Linked DNA regions of Notamacropus eugenii. The main gene of each other region encodes a partner of the protein of the gene in region 2 in a complex. Links are inferred from orthologs where the notes say so. Each region holds a gene or a part of one and is shown on either strand. Other genes may lie near its edges.

What was found.
Region 1: the proteins of CMKLR1 (region 2) and RARRES2 are in contact, whole or in part, in a cryo-EM structure (PDB 8ZJG), measured with the Homo sapiens proteins. The link is inferred for Notamacropus eugenii from reciprocal best matches to the Homo sapiens genes CMKLR1 and RARRES2. Residues at the interface, in NP_001135815.1 of Homo sapiens: Asp20, Tyr21, Leu22, Asp23, Ser24, Ile25, Val26, Val27, Leu28, Phe88, Leu92, His95, Tyr103, His104, Asn116, Leu119, Ile120, Met123, Arg178, Leu183, His184, Gly185, Lys186, Ser188, Cys189, Phe190, Asn191, Trp203, Thr205, His217; in NP_002880.1 of Homo sapiens: Leu34, Phe37, His38, Phe60, Thr75, Ser76, Cys77, Arg96, Leu111, Gly112, Arg113, Leu114, Val115, His116, Cys117, Pro118, Ile119, Thr133, Leu136, Arg137, Gln139, Arg140, His146, Ser147, Phe148, Tyr149, Phe150, Pro151, Gly152, Gln153.

The regions. Positions count from the first base shown.
Region 1 is NC_092874.1:96,510,284-96,526,366, reverse strand, and holds RARRES2 (retinoic acid receptor responder protein 2), read right to left. Parts: upstream 8,794-16,083; 5' UTR 8,696-8,793; intron 7,004-8,695; 5' UTR 6,976-7,003; coding exon 6,778-6,975; intron 5,638-6,777; coding exon 5,533-5,637; intron 3,999-5,532; coding exon 3,900-3,998; intron 3,612-3,899; coding exon 3,495-3,611; 3' UTR 3,484-3,494; intron 3,261-3,483; 3' UTR 3,079-3,260; downstream 1-3,078. Other genes in the region: LRRC61 (leucine-rich repeat-containing protein 61), read left to right, coding at 1-684. UniProt on the Homo sapiens protein: Adipocyte-secreted protein (adipokine) that regulates adipogenesis, metabolism and inflammation through activation of the chemokine-like receptor 1 (CMKLR1). Also acts as a ligand for CMKLR2.
Region 2 is NC_092875.1:23,695,202-23,711,499, reverse strand, and holds the start of CMKLR1 (chemerin-like receptor 1), read right to left. Parts: upstream 8,013-16,298; 5' UTR 7,904-8,012; intron 5,637-7,903; exon of another isoform or gene 5,205-5,636; 5' UTR 5,005-5,204; intron 3,475-5,004; exon of another isoform or gene 3,167-3,474; intron 3,160-3,166; exon of another isoform or gene 1,084-3,159; intron 1-1,083. UniProt on the Homo sapiens protein: Receptor for the chemoattractant adipokine chemerin/RARRES2 and for the omega-3 fatty acid derived molecule resolvin E1.

The DNA.
Region 1 (16,083 bases), on a different chromosome or scaffold from region 2:
CTGAAACTTTGTGGTTTAGGGCTGGTGGACCTGGGCTGCCTAGGTGAATGTTTGGGGCTGGAGTGGTTGGACTTATCCGGTAATACCCTCACCCACCTGGGACCCCTGGCCTCCCTTCGGCAGCTAGCTGTACTTAATGTCTCTGCCAACCGTCTGACAGGGCTAGAACCCCTGGCTTCTTGTGAGAGCCTGCAGAGTCTCAATGTAGCTGGGAACTTATTGGCTGGAGTGGACCAACTGCAATGCCTGGCTGGACTGCAGCGGCTGGAATACCTGAGACTTCAGGACCCCTTGGCTCGGCTTAGCAACCCACTCTGCAACAGCCCTTCCTACAGGGCTGCAGTGGGGGAGCTGTTGCCTGGACTAAAGGTCATTGATGGGGAGCGAGTATCGGGTCAGGGCAGTGAATTCTACCAGCTGTGTCGAGACCTTGACAAATCCTTGCACCGGAGCCCAGAGCCTGTCTCTCTGCTTCCTCACTGTGAGGCCAAGCCATGGGTGGAACCCAGCTACTGGAAGCCACCACAGGTCCAGGGCAGCTCAATCCTGGAAGATGCATGCCGCCAGTTCCAGGACACGGTACAAGAATGCCAGGAGCTGAGCCAGAAAGCCGATGATAGTCTGGCCCAAGCAGAGGAGGCCCTTAGACCTGCCAGTGGGGACACAACTTCCTTTGTCTTCTAAGCCCAGCCATTCCCCTATGTTGGGAGGGGAGTGGCTGGAGAAGAGAGTCTCCCAGGTGCACCAGGCTTTGAAGAATGTATATGATCACAAACCTCATTACTGGCCCCCCAGGATCATATCCAGTTAGTTTTGTCCCCCTTATTTATGTTTCCTACACTCTCTCAAGGTAAATTAAATCTAGATCCTCATTCTTATGGAGATGTTATACTTGAATCCTCTTGCTTTCTGTTTATATAGAGAAACCAAGCATTCCAGGCCTCTTCCTGAGTGTCCTATGCCTCCCCTCCCCAACCCCACTCTCACAAGACTGATACCAAAAGAGCAAGTGCTTGCACCTAAGCTGATTCTCTGTCCTCCCCACTCCCATGGCCCCAGATAGAGGGTTGTGATGGGGTACTGGCTGCATATGTAAAGGCTTCTTGAAAAATAAAATATGCTGTCCTGGTAAGAAGTTCCTCTGTCTTCTTGGTACCTTATACCTATCTGCTTGCCTGCTTATAACACAGACCTGAGGGGAAGAAGGGAGTTGACTGTACCTTCTAAAGTTTCTGAGACAGAGGGTTACACATCTTGGGAGAGAGAGGTTAAGGGATGGAGGTGATGGAGAGAGCCTTCAGTTTCCAAGATTTTCGAAGAATTACCTATCTTTATTTTTTTTCTTTTTTTAGGCAGTTGGGGTTAAGTGATTTGCTCAGGGTCGCATAGCTAATGTCTGAGGCTGGATTTGAATTGTGACTCCAGGGTTGGTGCTCTATCCACTGCACCACCTAGCTGCCCCTTAGAATTACCTATCCAAAGTCATCCTTTAAAGCTCAGCTTAAGCCACAGCTCCTCGAACTCTTCTGAAACCAGTGAAATCTCTTACTGCTCACCTTCTCTGAAATTCTGCTAAAACTTAGGTAACCTGGAGAGCAGAGAGCATAATTATCTACTATTTTGTATAGTTCTGTCTTTAAATTACTACTTGTTGTTTTTTGGAATTACTCCTTCTTTTGGGAGATCTCTATATCTATAATGATTTTTGATACTGGTGTATGTTTTCTTATATTTACTCATCTCCAGCTTTAGTTCCTGAATTGAGGTTTTAAGCTAGAGCCAGGCTGTGGCCCCTGCTACACATTTAGGTGGAGTGGTTGGCCCTACTTGGTCTCACCCTTGCATCCCTAGTGTTCCTGTGCTGACCTCTACAATCTGGAGTTAGCTTCCCTCCCCCGACCTTATATATTTGAGGCTCAGATCACTGAATCTTCCCTTTCTGACATCTCAGGACAGTGTTAGGCATCACAGATACCCTGCACCTAGGGTATCCAGGTCCAAGTGCAGCTGCTGTGTTCTGTTCCCTGCCATTCTCCAGGGATTCCAAGGTCCCTACTCTGGGACTTTCTAACCACCTTGGGGTTTTCTAGGGAAGAGCTCTCCACTCACTTTCCTATCTGCCTTCTTTCCTATTGACTTCAGGTTTCTGATGAATTTTTTCCCTCAGAGTCAAGTGGAAGAATTCACTTACTATAGTTTCTTATTGAATTATTGAATTTCATGATCATTCAATCTGGTGTAAATTTCAGACTTTTTTGGAGTAGCTATGGTAGAGTTGTAGGGATAGGTACCTGAATCTTGGCTAAAAGTCGAACAACTCTGAGAAAATTTTTCCTCACATTGAACTTAAATCTATCTCCCTGGAACTCCCTGACTTTGCTTCTATGGGAGAGCAGAATCTACTATTCATTCCACATGACAACCCTTGAAGTGTTTGAAGACAGTTATGTTCTATCTCAGGGCTTCACTTTTGTAGGCTAAACACTTTCATATGGAATAATTCTGTGCCTCTTCACCATCCTGGTTGTCTTCCTTAGAGCACACTCCATCTTGTCAGTGTCCCTCTTAAGACAGAATGCTCAAATCTGAAGACACAACTCCAGATGTGGTGTGACCACAATATTATCACCACCCTTGTGCTGGAAATTCCAGTGCTCTTTCCTTGAGCTCTGGTCTGATCTTTGCTCTATTTGTGGGTGGGATTGGGGTAGGGATAGGGGTAAATCAAGGAAGTAACCATAGTGGCAGCAACCAGGCTTGAGCCCCTTTTAAAAGTTTACTGATGCTTTTTTTAAGTGCAGTTACTTCCCAGTATATTATTCCCACCCCCTTGAGAATCTTCCCTTGTAACAAAGAAAGACAATTCATCAAAACCAACTGACAAATTAAGCCATCTGACAGCATCTGCCACATTCCTCCCCCCATAGTCCACCATCTCACTAGTGAGAAAAAGAAGGTACGTTTTATCATCTGTCCCAAGGAATGGAGATTGGTCATTGCCATTCATCTAAGCCTTGACCCCTTCTCATGATGCCCATTTAGTTCTAAGGCACTGTGTAAGGAAGTGAACGCATGAAGTCGGAAGCACGTTTTATTTGAGACAGGAAGAAACAAGAGTGCTGTGTACAGGGTTGGCAGGGTCTGGCCTCTTCTCCCAGGTAAGGTGGGATAGGGGGTGTTTGCCCTGATGGGTAGGAGGGATGTTGAAAGCCTTCACACTATTCACTGGTTTTCAAAGGGATTGAAAGCAAGGTTGCACCCTGAAGAGAAGAGAAATTGTTGAGTTAAGGATGAAAAAGAAATTCTTAACTCCATTCCCATCTCTTCTACTGACTTTCCCAATGCCTAACTCTGTTCTCTATCTTGACCTCACTCAGTCCTGGATCTAAATCCTAGCCTTATTCTCAGTTCTTAAACCCATCCTCCCAGGCTATTCCTACCCATGTGCAGTTTTTTTTTTCCTTTCCTCCCAGAGATTCTTACCTGCTTAGGATTCAGCCAGAGTTGTGACTCCTAGAAAAGGCATATGTGCCAGGGAAGTAATAGCTATGGGGCTCCTCACCAGCTTTTTCCACTTGAGTGCATTGGCTTTCCTGCTGCCCATCAGGATCCTAGAGATACATTTAGGCTTGGTCTTGGCCACAGGGTCAAAAAAGGAAACCACTTTCTTCTACTCTGCCAAGTCCTTGACTTGACCTTGTCTCACTCTCCCTCCTCCCTTCTCCCCTTCCACATACCTGAACCATTTCATCTCAGGGAACAGATGGTTCCTGTCCAAGATCCCTCTTCACCCAGTTACCTTCTTCTGGGCTATTCAGACACCATGGTTCCCTTCTCTGTTCTTTCTTCCTCCACTCTCCCCCTTCCCTCTACCTTAGAAACAAAGCATCAAGGTTTACCCTTTGACTCCCCGGGGGCCCAATGGGGCAGTGAATCATCTGTTTCAGGATCCGGTCCTTGGAATCAAACTTGATGCAAGCCAAACAGCTCCTCTTCCGCTGAGATCATAGGGGCATAGGTCAAAGGATGATAGATCTAGAGCTGGAAAGCATCTTAGGGGTCAGCTAGTCCCACCTCTTCATTTTACAGATGAGGAAACTGAGGCCCAAAAAAGAAATGACTTGCTCAAGGTCACTCAAGTAATAAGTGGCAGAGGTGGGTGACAAACCCAAGTCCTCTGACTTCCAATCCAGCACTCTTTGTCCTATGCCACATTGGTCATATAATAGATGAATTTGTATCAGGGAATGGGATACACTGGGGACATGGAAGGTTAGAGCTGTTGTGGGAAGAGACAGTTGACTATGGGGTGGGGTAGGGGATATGGGGTCAGCTGTACTGAAATGGAAAGCACTAGAGGCAACAGGCTCATTTCTTGGCTAAAGGGGACCAGAGATTGAGGGGAAGGTGGGGTTACTAATGACAGGTTGGTCTAGAATAAGTGGAATGCAGAAGCTGGTGCCCAGAAACTCCTCCATCTAGGACTTTGGGATCTTAGAAATCATTTAATCCAACTCCTTCATTTTAGAGGAAGAAATTGAGGCCTAGACAGGTTAAGTGATTTGCCTGTGATTACTGAGTGAGTCAGTAGCAGACTAGACCTAGAATTGAAGTCTATAGATGTCTGATCCAATGTTCCTTCCACTACATCACATAGTTTCCCCTAAACTGGATTGGTTCTGATTAAGCTCTGGTATTTAGGTCTGTATTAGTTCGGTCTTGGATTCATCCAGTGGGCTAGATCTGGGGCACCGTCATTTTAAAAAATAAGGGAATCCTAGGATATTCCGTAGTCCTGGGAGATCCCAAACCAAATCCTCTCCTTTGGGTCTCTCTAATGTCTTGAATTCTAGAAGCAGGAGGTAGAATCAACCTTGATATCTGGGGACCTCAAAGCAAGACTTTACCCAGGACCTGTTTGATACTACCCAATCTGCTCCCTTCCTATTTCCTCACCTTTACTCTTGAAGATTAAGCTCATTCCTACCCACACTCATCCAAGGGACTCATGTGAAATTGACTCAAGCTCCAGAAAGCTGTCTGTGTACCCCTCCCCACTGACTCCCAATGCCCTGCCTTCCCAGATGACATCTCTGTTCTCAAACCTTCTCATTATTTTTCCTCTCCCTTGAGCCACACAAAGATTCACATGTTCCCATAGCTCCCCATCTCATGCTCTGTCTCTCTGACACACAAAAGAGGCACCTGTTCTATTATCCAGACCACCCCCCTCCATTTCTCATACATTTCTCATACACATACAGTGCAAGTCCTGTTACCCTTCTAGGTATACACAAAAGACATATGTTCCACTGTGTATACACAATACACTAAAGGCATATACCAATATACAGACACAGATTCATATCATATGTACTCACATTTTGACATAGGGATCCATTATATATGCAGGCATTCATTCATCCCTCTGTCCCAGACATGTTTCATTATAAGGACATGGAGACTCAGATCTATGTTCCCAAAACCACACAAATACACACACACAGCAGAGGGGAAATGATTTTCACTCACCCCATTAGGCTTAACCTTGCACTCAGCATTCTTCCAGTCCTTCTTTCGGCAGCTGGTCTGCTGGAGTCCAAACTCCAGTCGAACAAATGTTCCTCCAGGGAATGACTAAGGATAAGACACAAAGGTGAACCAGTGACCAGCTCCCCTCCTTTATCTTGTACCTTGTAGGCTTCATTGAGGTTAAGGGCATTATCTTACTTCCACCCAATTCTTTCCCCCACCTCCCCATGCCTAGCACATTGTTCTGTAAACAGTAGGCATTTAATAAATGCTGGTTGCATTGTACTGCTTTATATGGCACTACATTGAATCATCAGTGTTGTTTTGCTGTTTTTCAGTTATGTCCAACTCTTCGTGACCTTTTTGGGGGTTTTCTTGGCAAAGATGCTGGAGTGGTTTGCCATTTCCTTCTCCAGTTCATTTAACAAATGAGGAAACTGAGGCAAACAGGGTTAAGTGATTTGCTCAGGGTCACACAGCTAGGAAGTATCTGAGGCCAGATCTGAACTTAGGTCTTCTAACTCCAGCCTGGTATTTTGTCCACTACACCACCTTCCTACCCAACTATATTGCATTGCTATCCCTCAAGTGAGCTGGCTATAAGAAGATGACATCCAAGTATGGTACAATGGAAAGAATATTGGATTTGTAACCAGAGAACCTGGGTTCAAATCCTGGCTCTGCCACATATTATCTATGATTTTGGACAACACAATATCTCTGTAGGCTTTGATTTTCTCATCTATAAAATGAGGCCACTGGACTAAATTACTTCTAAGGCTCCTTAAGCTTTAATCTGTGATCCTATAATCTTTTCTTGACATCTGGAGGCTTATAAATTCCAAATAACTTCCCAACTTGCCTCCTGAGCATCTGATGCTATCACCAGCTGTCAGTGGTCCTACAGCAATAGCAGATATGAGCTGTTTCTCCATACATGTGCCCTGGCCATATGTCCTCCACATGTGTGCTCACTATTTCCATGGAGAGTCTGTGTCTCTATGAGAAAGTGTGCTCCAGCTTTGGGTGAGATAAGGTTCTGTTGTGACTATTTTTTTACTATGTTATTTCATTAAATGCCTTTGAATAAAAACCAAACCAAACCAAAAGAAATCCTTGCCTATTAGAGAAATACTGACATCTCTGGGGTGGAACCCCAGATGCACCCCTCCTAGAGCAAAGTAGAGAATTCTTGCAATATATCCCCCCACCCTCATTGCAGTCAAAGGGGTCCCTCCCACCCACCATGTCACTGGCATTGTTCACACCAATCTCCTTGAATGCCCACTGCACAGGTGGGTGATTGTGGAACTTCTCCAAAGCCACCTGCAAGCCCCGTTGTTGTGGCACTGAGAGCTCATCTGCCCTGGTTCCAGTGGGCCCCAGGGCACTAAGCCACAGGGCCAAGGGCAACAGCAACTGCCTCATTTCTTTTCTGCACATCACAGTCAACTGGACTCAGGACAGGCACCTGCATGGAATGAAGTTGTGTCCGTGAGAGCTAGATTCCACCAGCCAAATCCCATACTCTCTACCCTCCCTCCACCCCCTACTCCATCTTTGTCTCTTCTGTCACTCAGACTCAATGTCATGGTTTACTGCTGGTCCTGGTTTGCCCTTGGGCTCATCCTTTAGTTGTATGGGAGAAGCAGGGCTCAGGAAGTGAAGGAATAACTGGATTGGGAGGGTAGGGGTCGATGTGGCCTTAGATGGGGCCATCCCTAGGGAATTGGGGAGCAGGAGACAAATATACTCTACCCTAAATGAAAAAGAAAGTGAAATCAGAATAAAATGAACAACCAGGGAACCTTTAACAGAACAAAGAGAAATGTGGCACAGTGGGAAGAGTCCTGGATTTGTAGGCAGAGGACTTGGGTTTGAAGCTCAGCACCGCTAATTGGATAAGCTTGGCCAGTCCTTTCACTTGGATCTTAGATTCCTAATTAATAAAATGAAGAGGGGTGATTGATCTCCGAGCCCTTTTGTAGCTCATTTCCTAGGACCACCTGAGCCACATCAGGGTAATGGGAGTGGTTTATAGAAGAAGAGAGGGGCAGATAGTATAGGACATTTAGTTAGATTTGTTTAGCACCAGCCTGGGATGTCCCTCCTCATCAGCTTGCTTCTCTAGGTTAACTGCAGCCTCTCCCAGTTCTGGGTCCATCAAAGCCTGGGGGTAGGGTTAGGGTGGGAACTGAAAAGGGAGAGCTACCTCCTATGAGTCCTTCCTGAAAGTGTCATTGCAGTGGGTGCTGTCTAGCTGGCTCTCTTTCCTTCCCTTCCTAGTTTTCTCTTTTGTAGCTCCCTTCCCCAGCAGAACATATTGGGAAGAGCTACTCTCTGAAGTTTCCCAGAAATTGGAAATGACGTCAGAGCCAGGGCCAAGTTCCTGAGGCCGGGAAGCAGACTCCATCTTCCCTCCACCCACTCTCCCATTCTGCCTTCTGTGCTCCTCCCATGCCTCCCCTCTTCTCAGCTCAGTCTCCCTCCCCAACCCCTTCCACCCAGTATCCTCCCCCTTCCCCTTCTCTCCCTCCCTCCTCTGGGGTCAGGTCAGTGCCCTGGACTTTCCCAGCGCTCGGGAGGTCCTTGCTCCACCCCCCTGGCCCCTGGCACTGAAAAGGCCTGTGGGGGAGGGAGGAGAATCGAGGGACCGGAGGTGAGGCTCACACCGAAGATGAATATTTTGAGGAGGACGTAAACATCCTGAAGAGGGGCTGAGCTGGAGCTTAACCCTCAGCATGCTGGGGCCTGTTGCTGGGCTGTCCAACCCAAGAAATCTGGATCTCAAGATTCCAGCTCGTCTTCCCCTTGCAGAGCCTCCTGGTTCCTAACCGACACTGGCTCTTTTCTAGTTTAACTCCTTCCCCTAAAGGCCTCCTTTTCCCCCTCTTTTTTCTGAGGCCAAATCACTTCTGTTTCTTTCTTCTTCCTCCCAGTTTCTGACCTTTGGGAGTCAGACTTCCCCTGCTCTCTGGTCACCTACTAGCTCCACTGTGGCAAACCCTTTAACAGTTCCAAAGCTTGGTATAACCCCCAGGCTAAGAGGAACAGAAAACTGAACTTTGGCATCTGCTTTTCCCTTTACCTCTGACCCACCTCTATCTCCTCACCCTCCTGTCCATCTCCCATTTCCCTCCCCTCCACCGCTCTCCCATTTCACCTTCTTCTTAGCTGGGAATTCTGGACCTCTCCTCTTAAGCTCCCGGTAGCAGTCTGCCTCTCCTCCCCCTTACCCCCCCCAACCTCCGCCTCCCCAGCTCCTCCCCTGCATCTGGTCTCTGCCCCCATCTCCTCCCACCTCTGGCTCCATGACTCTCCCCCCCCCCCCCATTACCACCATCCAATCCTTCTAGGTCCCTACTCCCACAATTTCTAGGGTGCCTTTCTGCCCTAACCCTGAAGGATCCAGAATGGTCTCCCATGCAGCAGTCCCAGGCCTCTACCCCACCCCTCAAACCTCCTCTTCTTCCATTCTCCCTGACACCCTCCCCCATCCAAGTCCAGGGAAGTTGGCCAGCTGGCCTGACCTCAGTCAAGGCAGTTAGCTGAGCTCTTCCACCAGACTGAGCCATCAAAGTAGGGTATCCTGTCCAAAGGACCTACCTTTGGGGTAAATGCTGCCACCCCTCAGCCTTGCGTAGTCCAGACCTTGACCCTCCAAAGACCATATGGTCTCTCCCCTTGCTTCTAGACAGGGCTGCCTTTAAACATCTCTTGCCTCTTTCAATTGCCAGTGCTGGGTCTCACACATATCTAGTCAGAAAGTTCATTCTAGAGCCATGGATCCCTTGATTTGACAATAAAATAAACATTTACTGAACCCTTATTATGTGCTCTGTGCTAGCACTGGGGATAGAAAACAATCCCTGCCGTCAAACAACTTACATTCTATGTGGGTAATAAGGATACATTTATACAAATAAAGGATATAGAAGAGACACATTAGTCTCCTTGCTAATACAGTGACATCTTGCTATAATGGGAGATTGATCAGAAGAACTTCCGCTCATGAACCCCTCAATCAACTTGATGAGATTATAGGGCCTACACCAGGAGTGTACTGAAGCCAACTCTTACCAGTTTATGAAAAGGAGCTGCTAAATTTTTAGTGAGTATTCACACTTCAGAAACTGGCAAGCACTACAAATCAGGACTTGTTTTATTGTTTAATTGATTGTCTTCTCTAGACTTAAGAAAATGATGCTGATTAAACTTTAAAATGTGTCAAGTATACTTTTGAAGGGCCCTGTGCTAAGCATTTACCATCACTCTCCTAGACTGGACTCTTGTCAGAAGGGGGCACTTCTATGCCACTTGCAGAGAGGGAAGGAGAAAGGGAGAAGGACAGATTCTTGACAGAGAATAGTGTAGTTAGTAAGAGCAAGCTCTCTCTTTTGATTCCCCAGCACACGGTGAAGGAAGAATGCAGCAAAGAAGGGGAGTGGGAAAGGGGATTTTTCTTTCCCTCTCAATCCCACCAGGAGCAGCAATGGAAATTATTGGTAGAAGCACCATGGCAAACTGAGAGTCTCAATTCTAGATGACTTCTGCCTTCCTATTCCCTTTTCTGAGCACAGGTTGTTGACTAGTTTACTTATGTCCTAATTGGTTTATGGGCAGCTAGATGGCAAGGCTGACAGAGAGCTGGGCCTGGAGTCAAGAAGACCTGAGTTCAAAACTGACCTCAGACACTTACTAGCTGTGTGATCATGGACAAATCACTTAACCATGTTTATTTCAGTTTCCTCATCTGTAAAATGATCTGGAGAAGGAAATGGCAGACAACTCCAGGGTCTTTGCCAAGAAAACACCAAATGGGGTCACAAAGAATTGGACTCCACTGAACAACCACAATAATTATTCAATAGTCAGTAAGCATTTATTAAGCTCCTCCTTTGTGCCAAGTACTGTGCTAAACTTTGGGGATACAAAGAAAGGCAGAAGGCTGTGTCAGCCTCTCTGACACAGATATAGTTTCATTGGCCCTCTGGATTCAGAGGTTGATGTGGATAACAGATAGAATAAGGGGTGGTGAGAGGTCAGACAAAGGACTGCCCTAAAATTTTTGAGGGTGGAAGTGGGGGACAAAAGGCAGCAGCCACATTGGCCTCCCTGCCACCACGCTGCCTCAGGAAAATATAAACATTTACACTTCCCAAGGAGGGCTAGGTTTCTAGAATGGACAAGTTGTCTGGCAGTAGAGGGCAGTAACTAAAACGACCACAGAAAGAGTGAAAAGATATTTCAGGTTGCCCCTGGGAAGGAAGCAGCAGATGAAATCACAGAGTTGAAAGGGGATTACCAGACTTCAAGCTGCTGCCCTGATTTTGAGATTAGACTGTTTTTCGTTGTGTCCCAAGCTGTAGCATGAGAGCTGGAGTGTTTGTGATCTGATACTCACTTCCTATGGTCCTATGATCTAGACCCTCCCTGACTAGGGATGCTGCCATAGATGGGAAAAGAAAGGCTGCCCCAAGTGAATATTTTCCTTTGGTGGGGGGGTAGGGGTGGGGAGTGGAAAGAAATGCCAGGAGAATTGAATCTGGCAGTGAATGAAACTGGTTATCTGTGTTACATTCAAGCACCATTTTGCCACCCATTTATTTAATATAAATAAACTGCTTACTAAGAGAATGATCTTTAACAGGGCAGAAGCTTTTGATTGACTTGTGAAAGAATCTAGTGGGTGTACAAGCTAACAGAGTAATTTGCATACATATCTCTTGATCAGGGTTTTTAAACCTAGGGTCCATGTACACGTAGACCTGAGGGCTCCCATGAACTTGGATGAGGAAAATTTGTATTTTTAAATTTCACTAACTTCTAAGTGAAATCTTTTCCTCCAGTTATGAATATAGGCAAATGACCATGATAGTATTGTGACAAAGTACTAATACCAATAAAAATCACAGACATTTTCACATCATATTACAGTTGTTGCAGATATCTTGAAATATCATTTATGCTCATCACTGCTTTGAAATGACTATAGTTATTAGCCCCACCATTACATGGCAGGTGATTGCAGTTTTGCTGTCTACAGAATGTATTTTAATATATTGGTTTCCTTCGTAATCCTATGTGTTTTATTCTATGCATTTAAAAACATTGTTCTGAGAAGTGGTCCATGGATTTATCCAACTTGGCAAAAGGGTCCATGACACTCATAAAAGAGTTAAGAACCCTGCTTTAGATGGTTTAAGAGTCCAGGAGGCAGAGCTTTTGAGTAACTGACAAGAATGGCATTGGCTCCTGCTGATGACTGTAGACTAAAATTTAAAGGACTGGCCAGGCAGTTGTACACTCCAATAGTACAACCTAGTGGTGACAGTAAATATAGTGTAATTTGGAGGATGGCAATGCATTAATAACCAGGGTGTTCTGGAAGTTCCATAGGCCATGAGTCCTGAAGTAACTAAGACATTTAAGACATGGATGTGAGGACAAACGCATTCTGAACATGCAGAACACTTGTGAGATGGCTTCTAGTAAGGGAGTCATATGAATGAGTCTGAAAAGGTAGGCTTGAGTCAGGATGTGAAAGACTTTAATACTAAGCTTCAAAATTAATATTTAATCTTTGAGACTGAAGGTTGTTGAACAACAGATGTATGTTTTATTTAGAAAGGTTATTTTAAAAATTATGGGGGAGTAGATTGGATAGAGACAGAACAGAAACTTGGAGACCAATGGGAGAAGTGATGAGGCCTGAATTAAGGTAGGGAATAGTGTGAGGGAGAAGGTTATGGATGCAAAAGATGCTGCGGAAGTATGATTCACAAAAGTTGGTGGCTGTTTGGATATGAGAGGTCAAGGACAAGAAAAAGTAAAATATGACTTTGAGATTGTGCATCTGGTTAACTAGAATTGTGACACCCTCAGCAGAAATAAGGAAGTTTAAGGAAGGGAGAAAATAAATTTTGTTCTAGATATATTCAGCTTGAGATGCTTTCAAGACAAGTCCAGTCAACAGTAAGTTGACTTCCAGTCAGCAGGAAACTGGGCAGGACCAGAACTCAGAAGAGAGATAAAGGCAGGAGTTAGAGCTGTATCTAGTACATGCTTACAACAAGTAGCAGGAAAAACACTCTCATTTTGGGGCTAGAGTGGGAAGGGAACAGAGATCGAAGAAGTGACAAGTGGAATGCCCAAGATAGAAAGGGAGTAGGAAGCAGGGTAGGATAAGGAAGGAACTCACCCCAAAGTGGAAGAAATGTCAACATTATCAGTGACCTTGAAATTCAGTGCCCTGCGGCAAAGTTCCGGCAAACCTTACCCTAGTTTTCCTTCTTGTTGGTATAGATTTGGTAGTCACTTGCATAGCAATGATAATTGAATCCTTGAGAATGGATGAGATCATCAAAAGAGTATATAGAGAAGGTGGCTCCAAGGTGAAGCCTCGAGAAAACCCACAATTACTGAGTGAGATCTGGATGATGATAGCTAAGGAGACCAGGGAGACAGGCAAGGGGAGAACAAGGAAAGAACTATGTCATGAAAGCCCAGGGGAAAGAATGTGCAAGAAATGAGAGTAATCAGCAAAACCCAAAGCTGCAGAGATGAGGATGGGGTTTTATATTATATGTGATAGGGAATTAGGTGAGCTCAGGGCCTTTCTTCTGAGGCAGAGCAGTGAGTAGCTGGCCTCACAGATCTCTTTTTTTAATCATTCCCCATGGCTAGAATAGCTCTTCATTGCCTGTAGCTTGATGATTCTGATGTTTGTTTTTATTGTATCCTTTTTCCATTAGGGGCAGATTCTCATCATGGAAAGAACACATGCCATGGAATCTGAAGACCTGAGTTCAAATCTCAGCTCTGATAAAAACTACCTCTGTGATTTTGGGCAAGTTACTCATACTTTTTCTGGGCCTTAAATTCTTCATCTGTAAAATAATGAGGTTGGATTAGATAGACTAGATCTAAGGTTCCTTCTAGCAGGCAAGTTATTAAAGCAGTTTTTTTTTTTTTTAAAGAACCATTCTCTGTTCTAGGTGATGGAGAGAAAGGAAATGGGGAGATGGAGTATTCATACTTTAGGGCAGAAGAATTTAGGGGAATTGAAACTTCCTGGACTGGTAGCAATAGAAATGAGAAATACAGAAAGGGATTCTATCCCAGTAGCTCAAGGATGCTGGCCACCAGCACTGACCAGCAGAGAAAAGGAAGAAAACTCCAGATGGGATTGAATCCACCTGGCTTATTTGCTTTCCAAGTGTTCATCATTCACTTGACTTGTAATAGTCCTAATGCACTGTTCTCGTCATGTCATCACACCTCTACTCAAAAAATTTCAGTTCTTCCACATTACCTACCCCAGAAAGTATAGTCAGACATTATCTGACTGTGGCCTACTTTAGTTTTATGACATAATCCTTTTCTTCAGTTAAGTTGGACACTTCTCCTTCCCCTGTCCTCATGTATTATCTCTGTCCCCAGTACCAAGAAAGAATTCCTTTACCTTCTACTTTCATCTGTTGACTTCCTCTTCACTGGGGTACTACCTTCTCATGAAGTCTCACTCTCTTTGATTTCCCACTCCTTCAGACTGAAGATGAGTGATCTCTTGCTAATTATATTTTTCATAACTTCTTGGACTTCTCCTTTGCATTTACTTCACACTTGTGTGTCATATTTCTTTGTGTACCTGTTTTCCCTGACCTCTGTAAAGGCAGGGTTTACGTCAGTGGTTCTTAATCTGGGATCCACTGACTCCCAAAGGATTGAGGGATTTCAGGATGTATGTAAATGTGGATAGGGAAAAATATGTATACACACACACACACACACATCTATCTTTATTTTCACGAAGTGGTTTCCTTTGTAATTCTACATATTTTAGGCATTTAAAACTCTTATTCTGAGAAGGTTTCCATGGGCTTCACCAGATTGCCAAAGGGTTCCATGACCCAAAAAAGATCCCTGTTCTGTATTCTATGCCTCCTTTTATCTCTAGCACCTAGTATAGTTCCTAATATTTAGTTAGCATATAGTGAATATTTGTTAAATGAAGGAGTAAATGAAGGTCTCCTTCCTGACTTGGGTACTGTTGATTCACAATGGTTATCTGTATTTTCAAGCAGTCTTGAGGGGAAGAGTTGAAAATTAAAGTTTTTTGGACTTGAGAATCACAGGTCACACTGACCTCTTCTTCTGAAACTTAATCATGCCTTTGTTGTAGGTCATCACTTCCCAAGGGCAGGGAGACCCTGGCTGGGACTGGGATGAAAACCAAAAGAAGATTCCTCTTGGGGATAAGAAGCTATTGAGTGGGATAGGTTTAGTAAAGACTTCTCAGATTGTAATTCTTCTCCCAGGGGTGAGGTAAGACCTAGAGGCTCAAGGTTACAATATTTTTAGAATAGAATAGTTCCATATAAGGATATAAAACTGTGTAGTGTATTAGGGTCTCAATGTCTGGATAAAACTTACATAATTCCTCGATGTCTTCATTTCAAAAGGGATTGGTTAGATTTCATGTCTAGAATGTAAGATCATATTCTCAGCTAATGAGGATAATGGTCAGTAGGGGAGGAGGGACTTGCGTTAGGGTCTATATAAATCACTGCCTTTTCTTTGTCTTTGTCTTTCCTATTCCAGATGAACTGGTGTAGGACTGTCCCAATTCTCGAGAATCTAGTAAATAAACTTTCTGTCATCACTTTGAGAGGCCTCTGAGTAATTGATTTATGTAGGGACCTGAGCCATCCCACACAGTTTGGGGGCATTCACCTGGGATCTGTGACCTTTCTGAGAGACGGCTGGCAGCTCAGTTCAAAGACTGGGTGCCCGTGGGGAGATTTCCCCCATGGTCCTTGAAAAGGGCTTCTGGGCCTCCCTCTCTGCAAAGTAACAACCAGAAGCAGAGGAACTTGGTGAGGACAGAAAAGAATAGAGATAAGGACTCCAAAGACTCTGAAGCTGTGAAGTGTGTAAAAATGCCAACCAGTTGGTGTTGAAGTTTGCAGTCAGGCAACTTGTACGCATATACGACCCGGCAGTAAGCGCGGGGGGCGGAGGGGGGGGGGTCTGGGGGTCAATTCGTTGAGTCTTAGATAGACTCGGGGAGAAGGTGACATCTCCCAACCAAATTAGTGGACTGTGGGACCCCAGGGTGAAGGGCCCCCCCCAAAAACGCTTGCCGGGTGACTGCTGGTGGGGAGTGACCCCCACCTGAGAGCTGGCAAGGGAGCTAGCAGGAGAGCTAGCAGGGGAGCTAGCATAATTCACTGAGTCTTAGACTCAGAGGTGTTGGTGACAACCCTCATCCAAAATGAGACAGAAGCAGTCCAAGAATCAAGCTTCGGAGTGGAGTCAGGAAGAAATACTGGTAAACAGTCCCTTGGGAAACTGATTACAAAATTGGCATGAATTACCAAATTATAGAGAAAAGAATGTAGAAGAAGATGATTAAGTATTGTTGTTTCATATGGGGTGAAAAGACATCAGAGGAGGAGGCACAATTTGGCCCAAATATGGTTCCTCCGAGGACTGGGTTTGCCAAAAATTTAAACCTATATGTACTATTCTATTCTGTTAAATGTTTTG
Region 2 (16,298 bases):
TTGGTGTTCAAAAACCCTTCAGAACCTGTCCCCCTTTTCCTCTTCAGTCTTCTGACGCCTTACTCCCCGCCATATACTCTGATCCAATGACACTGGGCTCCTTGCCCTTCCTCTAACAAGACTCTCCATCTCCCAACTCTGGGCATTTTTTCTGTCTGTTCTGCATACCTGGAATGGTCTCCCCCCTCACATCCACCTTCTGGCTTCCCTGGCTTCTTTCAAGTCCCAGTTTAAGTCACATCTTCTATGGGAAGCCTTTTTGTTCATACCCAGTTGTCTTGCTTTTCTTTGTCAGTACTTAGTAGAGCACCTGGCATATAGCTGGTGCCTAATAAGTGCTGGTTGACTGACTGATAATCACAAAATCATAAGATCTTAAATTCAGAGCTGGAGGTGACCTCAGAAGCCATCTTGTCCAACCCCTCTCATTACGGAAAGACTAGTTCAGTGACTTTCCCAAGGTCACAGAGGTAGTGAGCATCAGAGGGAAGACTTGAGACTAGTACTCTTAATAAGTTATTCCTCAGCAAGTAGAGCTGTCTAGGAGTGGGATGGACTAGCAAAGAATATAGTGAGCTTTCCATCAGGGCAAGTCTTGAAGCAAAGACTGAAGGACCACTTGTTGGAGCTGTTGTCAGGGAGAATTTTGTTCAGGATTTCATTGGACTAGGTGCCAGTTCTGAGATTCTGTGAGGTGTCACAGCTGGGATTCAAACTCAGGTTTTCTGATTCCTAAAGCCTATGCTTTTTCCACTAACCCAGATCCCTCCTTCAATCAAGGATCCTATCCCTTCTTTCTTGGATATTTAGCAAGTCTTGCTAATAGCCATAAATTTTAGGTGCTTCTTGATGTTAGTGGAACCAAGCAGGACAATATGGCAGAATAGAGAAGATGCTAAACCTGGGGTCAAAGAAAATGACATCATAGCCTGATAACTCAGTGACTGGGTAATTCACTTCTCCAATTCTTTCCTCTGAAAAATAAGGGAGTTTGAACTCAGTAGCCTCTGATATCCCTCCCAGCTCCAAATCCATGATCCTATGATCATTCTATGTGAGCTAATGGTGGAAATAAAGTTTTACCTGTGGGTTCCCTGATCTCCCAATCTGCCTTGAGTCATTTGATGCATAGCAAACATCAAGGAGAAATTGTTATTCTTTGATGAACCAGTCTGCTGTTCAGCATTTCTATACTATGAATCTTCTCTTGCAAAAAAAGAGAAAGGAAGGGAGGAAGAAAGAGAGGGAGAAAGAAGAAAAAGAGAAAGAATGAAAAAGATAAATCTAGATGTCAATCATTTGTGTTCAAAGCTACAATGGGATCTGGGTCATCTTTGAATCTTCAAAATTCATTCTTGGTTTATGAAAACATTCTTAGAAAGTGAGGATAAATAAATGAAGGAAGGAATAGAAGAACTTAACTATGCAGCAGGATATGGAGGTCTGGGCATAAGGAGATTAATGATACTTACCTACTTCTGTCACCAACTTGTCACAGACTTAATTCCTTTCAAACCATAATAGTCTATATCCTATGTCCTGTGTTCTAAGACTCCTCCGAGCAATGACATTTCATGTTCTAAGGGCTCTTCCAACTAAATATACTCTGCATCATTGCTAATTGAAACCTCAGGTGCTCTCTGGTCCCACTTAACCATTTATGCCATGATTTCTTCTCCTTTCCAGGACAGAGGACTTTGGTGGGCTCAATGACCTATCACCCTGAGAATCCCCAGGCAGACAGCAGCTGGTGAGTTGCCTCATTTCTGGTAAATTCAGCTATTTCCCAAAAAGACCTCAGAGATCATCTAATCCAGAGCCTCCCTGAACAGGAATTGCCATATAACCTCCTAGACAAGCTCCTTAAGGGTAGAGACTAGTTTTTGTCTTTGAATCCCCAGTGTCTAGCACAGTGCCTTAGTAATAATCCCTTAATAAATGTTTGTTTAATGAATGGAGATGTCCAGGGGTTATCTCAAGGTACAGTGGAAGGAGGAAGGAGGGAACCATATACACACAAACACATACACACACACACACACACACACACACAGCAGAGGGCATGGGACTGTGCCCTAGGAGGAGGGAGGTGGGAGGTTGGGCAACAGCAGTAAGCCCTGCCAATTGGCAGAAATTCCTGGCATTTTGCCTGACCTCCTGGAGATCAGGGGAAGAAAGGTCATCCAAGAGACTCTAAGGTATATTTGGCTTGAATGACAGAATTTCTCAGATAACATTCAGATTAGTCACCTTAAGTTTGGACCCAAAATCATAAAACATGGTATATAAAGGATCAAAGAATATAGAATGCCCAAACTGAAATTGACCTTTGAGTCCAAAGGTGTCATTTTACATGCAAGGATGGTCAGTCATCTAGGAAGGGAAGTGATTTATCCAAGGTCACACGGAGCAAGTGACATAGTCATCAAAAGACACTTTCCTTTCTTTTCACTACAATTGCATATCTGCATCCAAGAAAATAGCTACCAGAAGCCCCCAGTCTAACTCACCTAACCCACTATATCTAGGGGATTCCAGACCATGATTCACACACTGGTCAATTATCCATCAGGACAACTGTAACATGTACCACTTTCTGAAGGGTACCCACCTTGAAATTTTACCAATGAGCTCTCCTGAGCCATAGAGCTGGCCCCAGGACACCCCCACCCCAGATCATGCTTCATATCCCATCCAACCACCCACCAAGACACTGGAGTCTGGGGTGGCATATGGCACATGGAACATTCACCCCAAACACAGGCCCCCTCTCTTACTTTTCACTTCTTGTTCTCAATCAGGGAACAATAATCAGATCAATCCTACCACTAGTACCAGAAAGCATGTGGCAGGGAGTTGCCCTATGACTCCACTCACCATCTCTGAGCTAACCAAAATGCTACCTATCCTACCTATGCCCAGCCCTACATGTATTGTCTCCTATTAGAACGGGTAAACTCCTTGAGGGCAGGGACTGGCTTTACTTTGATATTTCTCTTCCCTGGTGCCTGGCACAGTGCCTGGCACACACCAGGCATCTCATAACTACTTGTTGATTCATTCATTTCTTCATTCAGTAAAAGTCCCTCTTCCCCAATGCGCAAAGCTTTGTGGGCATCCCCGAGGATGAATCTTTCCTGGAAATAAGTTTCACTTCTCCCCGTACCTTGTCATCTGGAACTGCTGACAAAGCCTGGGGACTGCTTACAGAAGCAAAACCCAGAAAGCCTCAGTCCACAGCACAGGCCACAGATGGAGGGGCAAAAGGTCATTCATCATAAATGCTCTGGCCCTACGTCCTGATGCCAATGGCCAAAAGAGAGGCTGGGCAAGGATAGTCTCATTCCGGTGAGAGATCATGGGGAAAGGACTCAGCCAGGAGGCAAGAGACTCAGACTCCAGCCTCAGGTCTGTCATGACTGCCCACGTGACATATCCTAGTCATTTACTGTCTCCAGAACTCAGTGTCCTCACCTACAAAATGAAAAGTATGAAGCACATGATCTCTTCATGTCTTTCCTATTCTGGCCTTTTGTGTTCTCTGTTCCAAGGGCCCCTCCCAGCTCTGACATTCCCTGTTCTAAAGCCCCTTTCAGTTCCGACATCCCCTGTTCTAAGGCCCCTCCCAGCTGTGACATTCTATGTCCTAAGAATCTTTATCACTGCACTATTCATTAGTGTAAGAATTCAAAATATAAACCCACATAAACCATCAGTACTTCTATATTATCACCCTGCAAGAAGAGATTGTAAGAGAGAGTTCATTTAAAATAGTCATAGACAATATAAAATACCTAGAAGTATACCTGCCCAGACAAACCCAGGAACTATATGAATATAATTATGAAACACTTTATACAAATAAAATCAGATTTAAATAATTGGAGAAGTATTCATTGTTCATGGGTGGACTGAGCCAGTATAATAAAAAACAATTCTACCTAAACTAATCTGTTTCTTCAGTGCCATCCCAATTACATTACCCCCCCCAAAAAAAATTATTTTATTGAGCTAGAAACAATAAGAGCAGAATCCAAAATATAATGGAATCGGCTTCTGGGCACCATTACCTTGGCATAATTCATACAAAACAACACGCAGCCCCCTCCCCAACTTCCACTTGATTCAACAATTCCACAAAACTTATCTTGAGCAACTAGCCTGGGGTCTCCAAGCCCATGATCAGAAGTTCCATCAGGTCCTACTAAGCCAAATAAGTCCTGAGTAAAGCCTGGCAACATATTGTGTATCTTTGCTGTCTCCAAAGCAGCCTAATCAAAGGCAGATCTGCGTACCACTAGAGATCTGACTCCTAAGAGGAGATTTATTTGGAGTCTCAGCTACTTGCTATTTCCATGACCCTGAGCAAGTCATTTCCCTTTATAAACCTCAGTTTTCCCCATCTGTAAAATGAAGGTGCAGAACGAAATGATTTCTAAATATCCTTCCATCACTAAATTCTACAACAGTAGATAATTTAGATTCCTTTATACTTTATATTATTATGTATATCAAGACATTTTATATATTCAGGTGTATGATTATTTTTATTTGCCTTTATGATCAGTATATTTTTATGATTCAAGCTGATGTTAAAGATGTGTTTATATTCTGGTAACTAGCTGACCTTAAGGAAGTTGGTTCATAGGCTAATAGAATTTGAGCAGGAGGAGATCTCAGCCATCATTTAAACCCTAAGCCCCATTTTCCATATCTTAAGAATGATTGGGTTGGATGAGAAGGCCTTCCATATCCTTTCTTAACTCAGTATCTATACCCTTCATTTTACAGATGAAAAGTCTGGGAACCAAAGAAGCTGTGACTTACCCAAGGTCACACTGCTAGCAAGCAGCTGAACCAAAAACTGGCTGAAACCTACATCTCTTCATTCCAAATCCTGCCCTGCCCCCCATTTCCCACTGCACTACAGGGCCCAAGATCGGGCCTCATGTTCTCTCCCTCCTCCTATCCCCTCTCAAGAAAATTGATAGAAAAACTTAGTACCTTCCACACTGTGCTCTACACAACAGCTGTCTGTGATGCCCAGCACCTGCCTCCCGGCAGAAGGAGGGTGCCAACTGTCAGCCGTTGGATTCCGTCCTGTGCTGCCACTATATCTTGTCCATCCAGCTTTCCAGCCTCCTGTGGCCATTCATCCAGACCTCCATCCATCCATTCATCCAGGAGTAAGGGGTGGCTCCAGTCTAGGACAAAAGCAGGATAAGTAAACCAGAGCCCCTCATCTCTTCCCCCAGAGCTGGCTCTGCCTGCCCCACAATCCCAGACCCACTGAATGCCTGCTGCTTTTTTTTTTTAAGACAGCAGAGTTCCCAGGGTGGGATTTGGGCGGGCCGTCCTTCTGCAGGAAAAACATCTGGAAAGGGGTGAGCCCGGAAACTTGGCTGGCTTCCCCCCTCCTGACCCAATGCCGGGTGGGCTGAGGGCTGGGGTGGTGAGAGGCCGGCACAGCCCCTGTTTGCCAGGTGACTGGCCAGGGCAGAGCAAAGCAGAGCCCTGCACGAGTGGGAGCGTGAGGGGAGAAGGGGGAAGGATGAGGCCACAGTTCACTGCCATATGGCTGGGAGCTGTTCCCACAGCAGGCTAGAGACCCCCTCGGTGGGGGAAGGGGGGCTGATTGGATGACAGAGAACTGGGCTTGTGGGCTCTGAGGAGTGGGGGAGGAATCTGCAGGCTCTTACAAGGAACTCAGTCACTTCCTCCTCTGTAGGGGGGCCTCCCATTCCTGCAGGTGGGCCTCAGTGTAAGCACATCCCATATAGCCAGAAGAGTGAAGTCAGCAAAACAACATACTCCCTCCCCATTTTTCTCCTATTCTCCCCTTGTTCTCAGCTAGGGGAGTGGAAAGAGGAGGGATTTTAAGGGATCACAGGTTTTAACTTGGAAGAGACAGATCTTTGAGGCCATCAAGATCAACCAATTCTTCTTACAGAGAAGGAAACTGAGGCCCAGAGAGGGCAGTGACTTGCCCAGGGTAACACAGTCAGAAAGTACTGGAGGCTAGACCTGAACCCAAGTTGTGCAGACTCCCAGATCATCTCTGTCCCCTCTACCTCATTGTCTCAGTCAATGGATCCACCAAACTCCCCCTGCAGAAGTAGCTTCCTGCCCTTTTTCCTTATTGAATGACCTAGTTTGTTCCCCTCAGCGTCTTGACTGCAAGGTTTGTCATCTCTAGCAGGAGAATCTCAGTCCCAGACATGAAGGTCTTTAGAACAAAGGTCAGAGACGCGCTGCTAGCTAAGCAGCTGCTGCCAACAGGCCATGTCTTCTCTGGGATATTTTCATCTAATTTATGGCGAGATGTCCCTGTCTACGGAGAGGCAGTGCTGGATTTGGTCTCTACAAGACCTTCCTCAGACATGTACTAGCTGTGTGACCCTGGGCAAGTCACTTACCCTCTGTCTGCCTCAGTTTCCTCATCTATAAATGGGAATATAATAGCACCTACCTCCTGGGGTTGCTGTGAGGAGCAAACGAGATAATATTTGCAAAGCACCTAGCACACTGCCTAGCACATAGTAGGCATTTACTAAATGCTGGCTTCCTTCTTTCTTTGTGCTTCCTGATTTTAATCTCTAAAGATTATACTGCAATAATAATAGCTACCGTTTATAAAATGCCAGGCACTGTGCTAAGAACTTTACAACTCTTACCTCAATGGTCCCTCCAAGAAGCCCTGGGAGTTAGGTCCTATTATTATCCCCATTTTACAGATGAGGAAACTGAGATAAACAGGGATAAGTGACTAGCCCAGGGTCACACAGCTAGTAAGTGTCTGAGGCTAAATTGGAACTCAGGTCTTCCTGACTCCAAGCCTGGAACTCCATCCACTGTGCCATCTAGTTGCCAATCATCTTCTGTATGGGGGTCACTTACTCAATAACTTGTTTAAATATTTGCAGAGCTGTCACTTGAAAAAGATTATTCCACCCAGCCTCAGCGGAAAGAGCTAGAACCAGAAGGCAAGAGTTACAAGGAAGTCAATTTCCCTATAGTATGAGAAAGTCCTTTCTAGCAATTAGGTCTATCCAACAACAGAATGGGTTGCCTGGTGAGATAGTGAGTTGTCCATTCTTGAAGCAACCATCAAAGATGTTATGGAGAAGACATCTATGATGAGTGGAAGACTGAACTAGACCACATCTCAGGTCCCATTCACCTCTAAGTCTGGGATTCTAAGAGCTTTTGATTCTGTGATTCTAAAATTCTCTTGGAAAAAGTCGCTTCTCTCCACACCTTGCCCTCCCCTCTAAAATGAGGGGACTGGACAAGAGGTCTTCCTAGCTCCCTTCTGGCTGTAAATCTGATCCTATCTGTCTCATCTACAGTCAAATTAACTACTGATCATTTCTTGTACAACACCACTCATCACCTCTTGGAACTCTGAAATCCCTTCCAAAGCCAGCTCTGGTACCCACCCCCCCAACAGGAAGCCTTCCCTACCACTTGAGATGACTGTATACTTTTTGTTCGTTTCTACTATTTCTTCATTTGTTTTTCTGTGTACACATTGTATCCACAGTAGCATGCAGGCTCCAGGTTTCCTTTTTTTTTCTCTGCATCTCTACTTGACACATTGTTTGAAAAGGAATCTACAGCAACATGGGTGGATGCAGCACCTAATGAGGAAGCACCTAATGAGGAAGCAATTAGATCAACACCTATTCTACAATTTGCAGCCTTATTTGTAGCAACTAAGAGTATGCAAGTGACATGCAGGGTCACACAGCCAGCATGTGTTAGAGACAGAACTTGAACCCAGGTTTGGGGGTTTTTCACTCTAAAGATGGCATTCTATCCACTAGGATTCCTTGCCTCTTCCCTGGCATATATTTGGTGCTAAATGAGCGATCATTACATAAAATGGAATCGATGTACTTACATTATAATTCTCCAGACAGCACTGAGAAGGTGCTGAGTCTCATTCTGACTCTGCTAACACAGTCCAGGATCCTCAAACATTGTGTGTTTGGCTACAGGCCCGGAACAGGAATTCTTGGAAACCTGATGTTAAAAGTAGGCTTATATTGAAATATTCAGGGCATGGGGTAGGAGGAGTAGAGATGGAAAAATGTTCCCAACTGATTCCACCCACAAGGAGTTTGTCCTGGGAGAGACCAAAGAGCTCACAAGTTTCCACTGTAGATAGAAGAGCTAGAGGTGAGACTTCCAGTATGTGAAAGACCTTCCCCTCCTGCCCAGCTTCCTGCTTACCAAACCTTCACACTCCCAAAATAGCAGAGGGTGATGTTACTGCCCAGTTATGCTTCCAGAACTGGGGAAGAGAAGGAAGTCCAAGGCTAAAGGGCACACAAGGAGGGTGTTTCTTTCTAGGCTAGGGAGGGAGTGGGGCGCATTGAAGGACTTTACTCTTTACTCTTTTTTAAAAAAAATTAATTTGTACTAATTAAATTAATTCGTACCAATCCCTTTTGTGCTGATTAATCTAACTAATTTGCACCTGTGCCTTTTTAAATTATCTACATTTCCCTTCTCTCTGCTCCCAATCCATGTAACAAAGTCTAAAAAAGAGCAAGAAAAAACCAGATCCACAAAACTAGCCAACTCATCAAAAAAAAAAAAAAAAGGTGGCATCGTATGCCGTGTTCCTCACCCATGGTCCCCCACCTTGGCAAAGAAGTACAGGAAGTGTTTTCTCCTCTCTCTTCATGGCCGTTATAATTTGATGGTATTCAGTTTGTGGTAGTCAGTCTTGATATTCTATCCTTGTTATTGTGCTAGTGTATGTTTTTCCCCCTTGGCTCTACTTAATAATAATTATAATAATTAACATTTATATAGGACTTACTATGTGCTAGGTACTTTACAATTATTATGTCATTTAATCCTACAACTGCCCAAGGAGGTAGGTGCTATTGTTATTTCCATTTTACAGGTAAGGAAACTGAGGCCAACAGAGATTAAGTGTCTTGCCCAGGATCACATAGTTAGTAAGTGTCCAAGGTTGAAATTGAACTCAGGTCTTCCTGACTCTAAGCCTAGCTCTCTATCCACTGCACCACCCAGCTTCCCCATCTGTCCTTACAGGTCTTCCTATGATTCTCTGTATTCATTATATTGTCATTTCTAAATCCATCACATTCCTGTACCATAATTTGTTTAGCTACTCCTCAACTGATGAGCACCAACTTCACACAGTGCCTGGAACACAGTAGGTGCTTCATAAGTGCTTGTTGACTTGATTTGACTATATTTTGGTAGACATGGAGACTCCTTGTATCAGTGGCTTCCTTGGGGTATATGCCTAGCAGGGGGATCTAAGGGGCAAAAAGTGAGGACAGTGTAGGCAATTTTTTTCACTTGACTCCAAAGTGCTTTCCTGAATAGTTGGACCAACTCACCATTCTACCAACTATGTAATAGTGTTCCTCTCCCTCCACAACCCTGACAACATGATTAACCAGTTTCTTCTTATGTACAACCACTTATATACAACTATACATGGATCTGTAACTTCATCAGTTTGGGTGTTCCATCCCATAATGCCTACCTCAGTCCATCCCTGCCCACCCAACCTGGGCAACTCTCTTCCATGTCCTCTTAAAAACCTGCCACAAAGTAGTCTAGAATTATGACTGCTATTATGATTGTTAGCAATTCAAGTCACATTAAGTGTCTGCTGTGTGCCAAGGACTGTGCTGAATACTGAGGATACAAAGAAAGGCAATAGACTGACCCATGTAGTCCATGTGGTTCTCTCCAGCTTTAGGGACTTGATTTTAATTATGAGTTTAATCACAATTGCTCTGAGCCCCCAGTTAGCAGACATATCAAAAATACCTGAGGGCATTACTGAAATGGATCGGCCCATGGATGATCTAGTGATGAACCTCTGCACACTTAGTAGCTTTAGTAGCCAGCCCTACCACAAGGCGGCATTTCCCATTGCCACAGAACCCTTCCTTCTCACTCATACGAACAATGGGATATTCCATAGCAGGGGCACCAGTGCTGCAAGAGAGCTTAGAGTAGCTAAGGTGTAGTCCCAGCTCTGCTATCAACTCTCTGTGTGACCTTGAGTAAGTCACTGGAGATCTCTGGGACTTGGCTTTCTCTTCTGAAAATGAATATAATAATCCCACTCATCTATCCATCAGCTTCCACTCTGTCTGAGGATCCAATGAGATCCAGTGAGATGGGACAGTCAGGTCCTGGGATGCTCTATTTAGAGCTGAAAGGATCCTTTGAAGTTATCCAGGTCAACCCCTTTCTACAGAAGAGGAAAATGAAACGCAGAGAGGTTGTGACTTGCCTAAGATCATACAGGTAGTAGGGGCAAAGCTTCTGACTCTCAATCCAGTCTCCTTTTCAAACTGAAAATACTACCACACTGACTGGTTGTCATTTGTAAGACACTGGTTGGACTGAGGGAGGGGAGGGTGAGTTGTGCATCTGTGAAACAAACCAACAGAACAATGCAGATGTGAGACCCAAGATCTTGGTGGAAAAAGACCACACTAAATGCTTGGGACAAAGGTGAGATGAAGGGGAGACTGGCTGGTCCACATTGTTTCAGGAGAGCTGGCAAACCTATGGGACTTTTCATACATTATCTCATGGAGGTCTCACAGCAACCCCAGTAGATAAGTGATCCAGGGAATCCACCTCTATTGTCTGCTACCTGGGCCACCTTAGGATCTCGATGCTCCCTGAGGGCCCCTCCAGCTCTGGTTTTACAAACCTATGATTTAATTACTGTGTGACCTTAGGCAGGTATCTTCCTGTCTCTCTTCCCGTCTTCTCCATGGCTAAAATAAGAGCAGATGATGTCTGAGGCCACTCTCAGCTCCAGACTTATGGTCCAATCATCCTACATTTCTTTCCCAGTCATAGGGCCTGCGTGAGGCCTTTACTGACCCCTCAGTTATTAGCACCTGCTGTCTCTCAACATTGTCTTGTATTAGCATATAGGCATTTTGTATTTAGTTATGTTGTCACAGTCCCAAAGCCCATTTGCAGGAGGGGTGGGCAGAGCAGGCACAGAGGAGAGCATTTGGCCACTTCTAATGCCCAGCTTTGAGAGGGAAAATGGATGAGGCAAGTCCCGCTACAGGAGGCTGAAGGAAAAGATTCTGGGAAGACACAGGAAGAGGCCAGCCTCCATCACATCCCCAGTTATGACTTACTATAGGCAGATGTTGTATAGATGTTTTCTGACCCACACAGACACATAATGCAGACACACATACAACACAAACACACCCATGCCCACAAACATATATAGACACATATATACACACACAAACTCACACCCACATATATATACAGATACATACATACATATATACACAAACTCACATCCACACACACATATATACACATACTTGCACACATAAACACAACACACGTATATGAACATATATGCATATATTCACGGTATAGTCACACATATATACCCACACACATACACACATATACATAAATCATTCACACATTTGAACACACACACACACCCAAGAATATAAGTTCATTGAGGGCAGGAGTCAGTTGAGGGTGATAAAAATCATTCTAGCTTTGGAATCAGGAGACCCGCATTCAAATTCTCCCTTTTCTATTCCCTTGTTATACAATCTTAGGCAAGGCCCTTAACCTCTAGGGACTTCCCCATTTCCTCCTTTGCAAAATGGGATTCCAACAATCCTCTGATCTGTCTCTGTATCTTCCGTACACCTCATATAATGAATGCCTCACAAACATGTGTGTAGACATATGAATTTATTAATTTCTGTTTATAGGAAGCCATGTGGCACAGTGGGCAGACCACTGGACCTGGAGTCTGGAAGACCTGAAATCAAATTTGGCCTCAGCTGTGTGACCCCAGGTAAGTCATTTAAGCGCTGCCTACCTCAGTTTCCTTACCTGTAAACTGGACATACTAATAGCACCTGCATCCCAGGGTTGTTGTAAGGACTGAATGAGGTAATTAAAATATTTGAATATTCTTATTTCTTCTTTGTCTATCTGCTATCGCATCATATATGCACTTTACAGGTAGGGATGGTTTATTCTTTTTCCTTGAATCTCCAGTGCCTAGTACAATGTCTGGTACATTTAGACCATCAATAAATATTTGATTGATAAATTATGATTGGATTAATATTCCCATTTTGCAGCTAATAAAACTGAGGCCCAGAGAAGGAAATATTACCCAAAGTTACCCACAGGCAATAGGAGAGACAAGACCAGAACCTGCTTCTCCTGATGCCCAATGTGATGTACCATTCACACTGCCTTAGCGCCTGCTCTCCTGCTCCCACCCCTCCTCGAGTGGATTGGTCCTCAATGCACACCCTTCCCTCTCTCCAGAAAAGAACATTTTAACCATTCTGCTCTCCCTATCTTCCCTCATGGCTCACTCTTTGCCTCCTCCCAGCATTCCACTCCCCTCTCTAGGTCAGAAGCCTAACTTCTCTATCTCTCTGGGCCAGGGTCTCAACAGTCAGCCCCCCATTTCCTCAGGGCTGGGGGGGGTGGGTGGGAGGGTGGTTGGATCACCAGAGGCTGATGGGAGACTTCCCAATCCTGGACTCCTGCTGGCTGCTGTCAAAGGCCCTCCCAGCCTTAGAAAGAACACTCCTTGAGCTCCAACAGAGATAAAGCAGCCTCTAGAAATCTTGGATGGGGTACAGAAGGGGAGACAAAGCTCAGGAAGGATTTATGTAAATCGTCTCTTCCTCCCAGTCCTTGGAGGCAGGATGAGTTACTGCCGGCTCCTTTCGAATCAAACTATCCTCATGGAGCCAAATCAACTCCATTAAATGAGGTTCTGGTTTTATCAGATGGAAACTGCATCTGGCAGAGAAGATGAAGCTGGGCTTGGGGCCAGCCTAAGCCTCCATCCACCCAATGTCAAGTTCAGAATCCAGGGATGTAGTTCTAGCTGATGGACCCTGATGCAGAGCTCTATTAGACACTTCATGGCCAGGCTGAACAGCCTAAAAAAAGACAAAGGAATAGCGAAAGAGCAGAAGAGAGAGTGAATCAGGATGGGAACAGACAGGTACCACTTCCATCCAATGATTCTACCTAGTAATCAGAACCCATCTGGAGATTGTACTATCTTGGGAGGTAGTAAATCTCCTGTCACTGAAAGTATTCCAGCAAAGACTAGATGGCACTTGGCAAGGATGCAGGGAAGGGACTTACCTGCATTATTAATACAGGGTTAGTAGTAGGGTTGGGCTGCTAGGTGGGGCCATAGTGCACAGACCACTGGGCCTGGAGTCAGGAAAACTCATCTTCCTGAGTTCAAACCTAGCCTCAGATATTTATTAGCCATGTGACGATGGCCAAGTCACTTAACCCTATTTGCCTCAATTTCTTCACCTGTAAAATGAGCTGGAGAAGAAAATGGCAAATCACTCCAGTATCTTTGCCAAGAAAACCCCAAAATGGGGTCATGGAGAGTAGGATACAACTGAAATGACTCAACCACACAGCAGCAGTGTTGCACAACGGATAGACCCAACCTCAAAGTAAGGAAGCCCTGGTTCCAATCCTGACTCAGTATATGTTTTATACTGGTTGTATGATTCTGGGTAGATCACACCACATCTCGGAGCTGCAGAAGAGGCTCCAATCTGCATCGGCAGAGGGAGATCCTTAAACCATTGAAATCACAGGCACAGTCTCCAAACATGTGGTTATATCTGTGAAAGGCAAGCTGACCTATTGCACAGAGAGCTGACTTTGGAGTCAAGAAAACCTGGATTCATATTCCATCTCTGTATGGGCTGTGTGACTCTGGGCAAGTCACTTAACTTCTCTGTGACCCTGGTCCATTCTCTGACTCTAAGTTACAGAAGAAATGTTGATCTGAATAGCTGAAGGAAGTTGTTGCACAGGGAATTCCTCCATAGTGATGGTATCACAGGTCCAGAGAAGAAGGAGGAGAAGATAGAGAAAAAAGGGGAGAAGGACAAAAGGGAGAAGGAAAGAGAAAGAAGACAACAGAGAAGAAAGAGGAAGAGAAAAGAGGAGGAAAAAGACATAGATTGTTTTGTGATTCTATTTGGGGTTTTCTTAGCAAAGATCCAGAAGTGCTTTGCCATTTCCTTTTCCTTCTCATTTTACACATGGGGAAATTGAGGCAAACAGGGTAAAATGATTTTCCCAAGGTCACCCAGCCAGTAAGTGTCTGAGGCCAGATTTGAACTCAGGAACATGAGTCTTTCTGATTCTAAGCCCAGTGTACTATGGCACCACCTAGCAGCGCCAAGGGTTAGACTAGATGCCCTCAAACAACAATGCTGTGTTTCAACATCCTCTCAACTTTCCCCATAACTTTGAAAAGCACACTATGCCCAAGGAAACCAGAAGAGTCTCAGAGAGGGAAATTAATTTCCTTGTAGTCACACAGCTAAACCCAGGTCTTTGACTCGTGGTCCAAGAAGAGAATAGGATTACAGGAATTAGAAGTAGAGAAGTTAAATGAAATTGAGAACAGAAAGAGGAAGTAGTGTGGTGAGGAAACAGCTTTTCCTGTCTGGTCTATGATGAATCAGAGCCCCAAAGCTCTCTGATTTTCAAACAAGAAAATAATCATTAAAGTTTCAATTTGCTGCTCTCCTTACTTGAGGTGCCATCTCCCACCACCATGCCTTTGTCCAGGTTGTATCCTATGCCTGCAAAGCTTTTTTTTCATCATTTCCTCTTAGAAAGCTTGGGTTTCTCTTTAAGACAGCTCATTACTGCTTCTCAAAGGAAACTTTTCCTCATTCCCTTATTTGTTATTGCTTGTGCCTCCAAATTTTATGTATTTGCTAATTGGTATACATACTTTGATTGTGTCTCTTGTACTTTGTAAGCTCCTTGAGGACTAGAACTGGTTGATTTTTGTCTTTGCATCCCCATTACTTCCTGTAATACCTTCCACATATTTCTTAATAAATTCTTACTGAACTGATTTGAATTGAATTTCCTCAGAATCAGGAGCCATTATGGGAGAGAGGAATACAGTGGGGGTCAAACCCAAGGAGAAACTGAGGCCACTCATCCATACATAAGGATTCCCATGGGCCACATATTGGTTTAGTTTGCAATGTTATCTATATTTGATGTATTTGGTTTTGTTCAATATTTCCCAGTTCCATTTCAATCCGATTTGGAGAGTGTTGGGAATGCAGTGGGTCATATATGGCTGAGAGCTGTGTTTAACAACTCTAGTGGAATGGACATAGATCTGGCTTCAGAGCCAAGACAACCTGAGTTCAGATCCCACTGTGTGACCCTGGGTAAGTCACTTAACTTCTCAGTAATCTAGGTAACTTCTGTAACTTTATGATTGCCAGTCAGAAAAAGTGTCAACTTTCATGGGTAAAGGAGATTTCCTCACCTGGGAGTAGCCTATACAAATGAAAGGATAGGTCCTGCTGTTTCCCTGTTACTTCCTCAGAATAAGCTGGCAGGTAGCGCAGATATTATCACCCCCATTTTGAAACTTCAACTCATTAAACATTTATTAAACTCTCCACCAAATGCTGAGCTAGGTGGCTGGGGAAAATAAAATGTATGGATAAAACAGATGAGGAAAAGGAAGTCCCTTGGCAGAAAGAGCAAGTGACTTGCTCAAGGTCACACAACTAAGGAGCTACAGAGCTAGGATTCACACTCAGGTCCAGGATCTTTCTGTTAGGATACTCACTAGGAGATCACATAACCTTTCTCAACCTCACTTTCCTCATCTGTGAAATGGGCATGGTAATTAACCTGCAGTAGCTTCTCCCACAGAGTGGTCATGATGGTCAGAGGAGGTCATATGTATAAAGTGCCAGATAATTGATCTCTATTATTTTGACATGGACCTGAGCTTTCATTGGCAGCAAGGTGATGTGCTAAACTAGGTACTGGGGAGACCTGAGTTCAAATTCTCCCTCAGACACTTACTAGCTGTGTGACCATGGGCAAGTTGCATCACCTATCTGTTTCATCATCTGCAAAATGGAGGTATTAATAATGCCTATTTCACAGGAACACTGTGAGATCATCAATGAGCATTTAACCAGCACCTACTAGGTGCCCAGCAGTGTGTTAGGTGCTAAGGATACAAAGACAATGAAACAGTGTCTGCTCTCAAGGAAATGACATTCTAATGGTGGCAATAAGTGTACAAACAGATAAAGTAAGGGAGTCTGGGAGTAGATCTCTAGCAGGGAGGGAGGGGATCAGGAAAGATCTTTGGAGACACCTGAGCTTAGCTTTGAAAGAAATGATGACTTCCAAGAGCCAGAGGGGAGAAGAAAATACAGTCTAGGCAC